Oryzias latipes: one gene and its partner. The protein of the gene in region 1 binds, or shares a complex with, the protein of each later gene. Links are inferred from orthologs where the notes say so. Each region holds a gene or a part of one and is shown in the gene's direction. Other genes may lie near its edges.

What was found.
Region 2: crnkl1 (region 1) and cwc27 share a complex: the UniProt entries of both Homo sapiens proteins name them as parts of the minor spliceosome. The link is inferred for Oryzias latipes from reciprocal best matches to the Homo sapiens genes CRNKL1 and CWC27.

The regions. Positions count from the first base shown.
Region 1 is NC_019882.2:16,311,585-16,314,531, forward strand, and holds part of crnkl1 (crooked neck-like protein 1), read left to right. Parts: intron 1-110; coding exon 111-202; intron 203-389; coding exon 390-548; intron 549-625; coding exon 626-792; intron 793-1,139; coding exon 1,140-1,318; intron 1,319-1,392; coding exon 1,393-1,563; intron 1,564-2,082; coding exon 2,083-2,274; intron 2,275-2,449; coding exon 2,450-2,509; intron 2,510-2,601; coding exon 2,602-2,682; intron 2,683-2,947. UniProt on the Homo sapiens protein: Involved in pre-mRNA splicing process. As a component of the minor spliceosome, involved in the splicing of U12-type introns in pre-mRNAs.
Region 2 is NC_019870.2:3,045,256-3,049,616, reverse strand, and holds the start of cwc27 (peptidyl-prolyl cis-trans isomerase CWC27 homolog), read left to right. Parts: upstream 1-1,255; 5' UTR 1,256-1,610; coding exon 1,611-1,652; intron 1,653-1,797; coding exon 1,798-1,894; intron 1,895-2,013; coding exon 2,014-2,126; intron 2,127-2,202; coding exon 2,203-2,346; intron 2,347-2,436; coding exon 2,437-2,535; intron 2,536-2,625; coding exon 2,626-2,729; intron 2,730-2,950; coding exon 2,951-3,020; intron 3,021-4,361. Other genes in the region: ppwd1 (peptidylprolyl isomerase domain and WD repeat-containing protein 1), read right to left, coding at 1-5, 75-195, 281-384, 653-755, 869-1,001. UniProt on the Homo sapiens protein: As part of the spliceosome, plays a role in pre-mRNA splicing. Probable inactive PPIase with no peptidyl-prolyl cis-trans isomerase activity. As a component of the minor spliceosome, involved in the splicing of U12-type introns in pre-mRNAs.

The DNA.
Region 1 (2,947 bases):
AACATGATTAATATGTTTTGCTTGACTTTGACTTAAAGAACAAACCTTTTTAAAAGAAAAACTATGAAACGTTTAAATTATTTATCCAACCTAAAATTCTACTTTTGTAGGCGTTTGAGGACAACATCAGAAAGAACCGCACAATCATCAGTAACTGGATTAAGTACGCACAATGGGAAGAAAGCCAGAAAGAGGTCCAAAGGTATTTTACTCTATCTTTATAACTTGTGTTTTTTCAATCTAGGCCCCCGTTTGCCCAACAAGAAAGCTATATGCAGGAGCTACTTTAATTGGAGATTTTTTTAGTTTGTCTTAGGTTTTTGAATTCTAAACAACCTTGCATGCCTTTGCTGTCCACTTTCTCTCACCACTGCCTTACCTGCTGTCAGGGCGCGCTCCATTTACGAACGAGCGCTGGATGTCGATCACCGCAACATCACGCTGTGGCTAAAGTATGCAGAGATGGAGATGAAAAACCGCCAGGTGAATCACGCCCGCAACATCTGGGACAGAGCCATCACCATCCTTCCTCGAGTCAACCAGTTTTGGTATGATTTTTTAATTCCCTTCACTTCTTTTGTCCAGTTTGTGCATTATTTTAAAGAAGTATTCTTCTGTTGAACAGGTACAAGTACACATACATGGAGGAGATGTTGGGTAACGTTGCCGGCTGCAGGCAGGCGTTTGAGCGCTGGATGGAGTGGGAGCCTGATGAACAGGCCTGGCACTCTTACATCAATTTTGAACTTCGCTACAAGGAGGTGGACAAAGCCCGCACCATTTATGAGCGATATATCCTTTTACATCATTTATTTGACCATTTTGACCTCACAGAAACTGCTTTTCTTCCTGCAACCCAAATTTATTTAGAGGAACGTTAGTAAACTGAGCAGTAGAAAAAAATTAAAGTAATAACTTTAGCCAACATATTGAACTTCTGCTGACATCTGTTTGTGTTACTAGGTAATTTATAGTTTTTTTTCTTCTATAACCACACATTTTCCAGACAAGATGAGGCCTTTTCAGACATTGACTTACAATCAGAATACCAAGGCCATTTAATTACTAGCAACCTTTTTAGGATGAACAGAAACATGGGTAATCTTGCTGGAAACATAACATTTCTTGACTCCTCGCACTTGTGATGGTTCACCCTGAAGTGAAGAACTGGATCAAGTATGCCCGCTTTGAAGAGAAACATGGCTACATTGCTCATAGCAGGAAGGTGTACGAAAGAGCAGCGGAGTTCTATGGAGAGGATCACGTCAACGAAAACCTCTTTGTGGCTTTTGCCAAATTTGAGGAGATGCAGAAGGAGGTACAAGAAAAATTTATTGTATTTCCATGTGCAATCATGGCTTCTAATAACACAGAGTTTCTTTTTCTATGCAGTTCGAGCGGGTTCGAGTCATTTATAAGTATGCGTTGGACAAGATTCCGAAAAATCAAGCGCAGGAACTCTTCAAAAACTACACCATGTTTGAGAAGAAGTTTGGAGACCGCAGGGGGATTGAGGATGTGATCATCAACAAACGAAGATTTCAGTATGAAGAGGAGGTCAAGGTAAAAATGTCAAATGGAAGCTGGGTAAAACCCAACAACAAGCAGAACATGGAGTTTGACAAGACAACAAATTTAGGCTCATTTGGATGACATTTAAAAAAAAAAACCTAAATGTGAAGATTTCTGTCAGATAAATTAATGATGCAACATGAGTTGTGGCTCAAAAAAGTGTTAGTTTGTGAAGAGCTCAACTTCTAATTAACTGAATGTTAATTATTAAGCATTTTGTAGATCGTTGTTGTATCTTTTTTGTGTTTTAATTACTGCATGAAACAAAGAAATCTGAATCTTAGTTCATCTAAGAATCTATTAATTCTCCCAGATCAGATTTACATGATAAATTCTGAAAATGACCCATCTTAATCTGTGGTAGAAATAAAACTAAAACCTGATTTTGATCTAAAAGATGCAGTCGGGTGTTAGCTTGCTGTACAGCATTGCATACCAACTACTGATCTTAGAGAGGAAAGGGTTCTTGCCTTCAAACACAAGGATTCTCATGATTCGTATCTTCTTCAGGCAAACCCACTCAACTATGATGCCTGGTTTGATTACCTGCGCCTGGTGGAGAGCGATGGAGACCCTGACACGGTCAGAGATGTTTATGAGAGAGCCATCGCCAACATCCCTCCCATTCAAGAGAAAAGGCACTGGAGGCGATACATCTACCTCTGGATCAACTATGCTCTGTACGAAGAACTAGAAGTCAAGGTTGGTTCTTCATTCACCTCATGTCTACTTTCCAAAGCACATGGGAAAGGAACTGCATGCTCACCTCTGCTCACTTGGAGAATCTTAAAACAAATGAAAGTGAAAAATACTGACTCCTCTGCATCAGAGCAATCAAAAACAAGAAGTTTTACCCTTTTTTTAAATCACCTGACAGGATCCAGAGAGAACTAGGCAGGTTTACCAGGCCTGTCTGGATCTTATGCCTCACAAAAAGGTATTCTTTAGAATACTTGTCATTTCTTAAAAAAAAGGTCGGTTTGCTGACATAACCTTACAGTGACGCCTGCTTTGTTTTTTTTTTTGTAGTTCACGTTTGCCAAGATCTGGCTTCTCTTCGCCCAGTTTGAGATCAGACAGAAGAATCTGCAGGCAGCTAGAAAGATTATGGTAAGATGGTGAAAACTCGGCCGTATAAAAATGTATGCACGCGTGTATTTAGAGATATTCCTAAACCAGTGTTGGTTGATGATAAGGAACTTTTTGTATATTTCTTTGTAAGTTATATGATTTTTATTTTAGCATGTCTTTGCACTACAGCTGTGAAATTTATTCAAAACAAGGGACTCCCTAAGGAGACAAACACACAATTTAAAGTTGAACTTTGATACATAAACTAATCTAGTTCAACTTACAAAAATAGGTGTTTGGTATC
Region 2 (4,361 bases), on another chromosome or scaffold:
GAAAGCTGCAAACAAACCCTGCATCAGTGTCTGCCGCATCATTCAGGCTCCACTGCACCGTCATTGGAACTCACCCCAGCTTCAGCATGTTGATCATGTCAAAGTTGACCACATCGAAGACTTTCATGGCCCGATCGTCCCCAACAGAGCAGAAGAGAGCCCCTTCGGCACTGACGGCGATGCTCTCGATCACACCTGCACAAACACAGCTTCACGTTGAGAAGAAAGCCACATTCGTGCGCCTGCAAGATCGAAACGAGGGCGAAAACGAAGGTCTTACCCAAGTGGCTTCTGAAGTGTTTCACAAACTCTATACCCTCATCCTCCTTCTTTTTCCAAAACTTGACGTGGCCGTCTTGGCTGGCAGTTAGGACAAAGTCTGTTCTGGAACAGAAAAGGGACAGCGTGAAAAAGAGAGGAGTGTCAGATAAACGGCACAATTCCTCTAAAGAACATTTTGCCAGAGAGCACAAATTCTAAGTATTTTTACTATTAACTTTACTATAAGGTACATAGAAACACAAAAACTGCACACTCTTTTGCTTCTTTGACACCTGAAGCTGCATAACAGTTCTGATCGACTTGTCTTTCATTTCCATAGTTGCATGATCAGCTGAATGAAGTTACATTTCCACCACTTAGTTAGACTTACTTGGAACAAACTATATGCGTAATAATGTCTCTGTGCATGTAGCTCCGTTCATACATGGCAGCTGAGGGCAGGTTGTCCAGGTAAACACGCTCGTATTCGAGTACTGACACCAAACACACAAAAACAGGCAGAAAAGAGCGGGGGTTAGCGCGGATTAGCACGACTTCTAACAGATGTTTGTCACAGACCAGGGTAAAGCCGCCACCAGAAACCAACCTTTCCGTTTTTTAGTCGTCGTGGCTTCATTCGGCATGGGTCCGACCCATTCGGAATCTTGTTGTTCTTCATCTCCGTCCCGGTTATCTTCAGCCTTTCGCTTCAAATCCACACTGTTTTCAGATTCCGCCATCGTTGCTTCTCTTCTGGTTTGTCCTGTCGTGATTACGGCACTTCCGCTTGACTTCTAAATTCGTTAACCCTTCCAATCGAAGTAAATGCATACATATATAGTAAGTAAAAAATAAGATTAAATTAAATGCATATGCAAACACCTTTTACATTAATATTAGATTTTTTTTCAAACTTAAATAGAGTTTCCACTGAGCGCGATCATGTTTCCGCGGGGCAGTTATCAAAGAACACATGGATCAAACCAATGCAATTGAAGAGGGGAAATAGTTGGAAAAACGTAATTCGTTTGTTTTGTTGTTATAGTTTATTTTTATTTGCATGCTTTAAAATGCGGCGTTTTCTAAAGAAATACCCTTTTATCAAATTCAATTATATATTAAGTGCAAAACGTTTCAATAAGATTATATGTCTACCTTCTGACGTCCCTGTGCACTCGGAAGTAAACAACCCGCGAACAGATGCAGCTAAGATGGCTTTGGAAGTGAAACGATCAAATTAATCTCATGTAAGAAAAACAGTTGTAAGAATCATTCTTTACCATTCGCTTTGTTTTCAGTTAACTAAAAGTACTTTAAACGTATAAATTAGTTAGAAGTCGGGGGGCAAAATGAGCAACATTTACATTCAGGAACCTCCGACGAATGGAAAGGTGAGCGTTCAGTTTCTTTCGCTCCAGAAAAGCCCAACTTTCATGTGGTTTTACCTCTGAAATGTACAACAATTGTCTCCATTAGCTAATAATTAGATGTATTTATTGTTAACTGAAGATTGTATGTTGGAAAATGTTCTTCCAGGTTCTGTTGAAAACATCAGCAGGAGAAATTGACATTGAGCTGTGGTCCAAAGAGGCTCCCAAAGCCTCCAGGAACTTTGTGCAGCTCTGCATGGAAGGTAGGATCTGTCAAAAAGAACCAAAAATCGAGAGTTAAATCTGCCTTTTTGTTTTGTTTTCTTTCTTGGGAAAAGTGATCCAATCTGTGCTGTTTGGGTCTCTATTTCTAACCCTATAGGTTACTACGATGGCACCATTTTCCACAGAGTGGTCCAGGACTTCATCATTCAGGGTGGGGATCCTACAGGAACAGGAACCGGGGGAGAGTCCGTGTACGGCCGTCCGTTCAAGGTCCGACAGTTTCGCTGCTCGCTTCAGAAAAACGTGTGTTTAAGCCTAAGCGAAAACCCTAAACTTCACCTTTCAGGACGAGTTTCACTCAAGACTGCGCTTCATTCGGAGAGGCCTGGTTGCTATGGCGAACGCTGGGCCACACGATAATGGGAGTCAGTTTTTTTTCACGTTGGCGCGTGCGGATGAACTCAACAATAAACACACCATATTTGGAAAGGTGAGCATAACTTCAGTCCATTGTATGGTGGATGTTTTAAGAGCTGCTTATGTTAAAAAAAAGCCTTATTTTCCTTTTGTTTTACTGCAGGTCACTGGAGATACGGTCTATAACTTGCTCAGATTGGCTCAGGTTGAATGCGACAAAGATGAACGACCTCTGAGGCCTCATAAGATCAGATGTGCTGAGGTGATTCGTTTATTCACACCAATCAGAGCAGCTCCTGTATCTAAAAAGTCGTTTTTTTTCCCTTGTGATAATGTTGTGTGCGTCTTCCAGGTTCTGCACAATCCCTTTGATGACATTGTTCCTCGAGAAACGAAGAAAAGCAAAAAGGATAAAGACAAGGAAGAGGCAAAGAAATCCCAGTCAAAAGCCACGAAGTGAGCATTCACTCTTTCTTCTTCCCTGTTTATGCTAAAAAATACAACTATCAGACTTTTATTGTGAATGTTTTTCTCACCTGCAAAATGTAGTTTTCTTGGTTTTAAGTCCATGTGGCCTCGTATTTGAATTCCTCTTACAATCTTGTTGTTTTCTGTGATTGTAGTGGTTTTTGTTTGTTGTTGTGATTTGGATTAATGCTCCAAAAAAACTTTTCCAGGAACTTCAGTTTGTTATCGTTTGGTGAGGAAGCTGAGGAAGACGAGGAGATGGCGAATCAAGTCAGTCAGGTATGTTTCTGCTCTCCACAGCAAACTTTGTGCTGCCTAAAGCCTTAGTCCCAACTAAGAACACACGAATTATCAAGTGAGTGTACTTGTTGATGCATACGGGCATGCGACAGGTTGTAGTTAACACTTCAAATGTATGGGTGTTGTTTAGAGGAAAAGTCACGTGACCCATACAGCCACTGTGTCTGCGTGTCACAGAGAAGCCAAACAAGGAAGCGTATCGTTGCCAGATTCTTCGGTTTTCCACCCAGTTGGGTAATTTTGGAAAATTTGCTTTGGCGGGTTTCGTGTCAACTTGGCAGGGTTCAGTTAGTTTTATTATGAGTCTAAGCTATCTTTTATTTTGAAAAATTAACCTGATCTTTTCTGTTACATTTCAGTCACTTGGGTGTTAAATCAGTTCCGCTGCGATTTTAACAGAGTAGGAAAAAAACAGCTTTTCATGCACCCAAACTTCCAGCTGTTGAACGATTCTCGCCCACCCTGTTTTCCCCGCCCACCTGTGTATGACGTTTTATTTTACTGAATCTTTCCGAAAGGTGTTGAATGTGGTGTTTTTAATTAGGTTTTTGGAATCATTTAACAATTTTATCAAGGATTTAGGCTTTTTCTCCCCCCATTCCTCTCAGTTGGTCCAGCAGAATACAATTCCACTGCATTCTGTCTCTTATTTGACATGAATCATTTTATGTTTTGGAGGTTGTTCAGCAGAACTGTCAAACTTAAAAGCATCTCCCCAATGCTGGATCTTATAGAGCGCGAGACATGGGAATGAGGAACTACGGTAACAAATATTCTGTTTAGTTGATTTAATCAGTAAATCTGTGAACTTTCTTAACTGTGTTGCCTGCAATGATGTTTCTGGTCCAGCAGGAGTCAGTATTGAGTGAAACAGTATCATCAACACAGAATCCATACAGTTTGGCTGATGTGTCAACGCTTCACGAGGCCTCATTTACCCATCACTACTGCAGACTGCGTAAGGAGGCTGTAGGTTCAGCGCACGTGAAACGTGCGCGCTCCTTGCGAAGCCGCCTTACGGTCAGAAATGAGGAAAGTAGACAATCAGAGGGTTGTTAGTTTGGACATCCTACAGACACGTATGACATCTCATGCATGCAGCATTCGCGTGCGGTCAGTAAGCGGCCAGTACTCCCCCCCCCCCCCCAACACACACTCACCCGGTGACAATATATAGGTTAGTATCTATAAAAATTGTGTAAGTACACCTAAAATTGTATCTTTTAACATTAATAAAAGAAAAAAGCAATATAAATCCACTTTCAACAAATATTAACTTTATTTAACCACAGAAACCCTGTTATGGTCTAAAACAGAGAA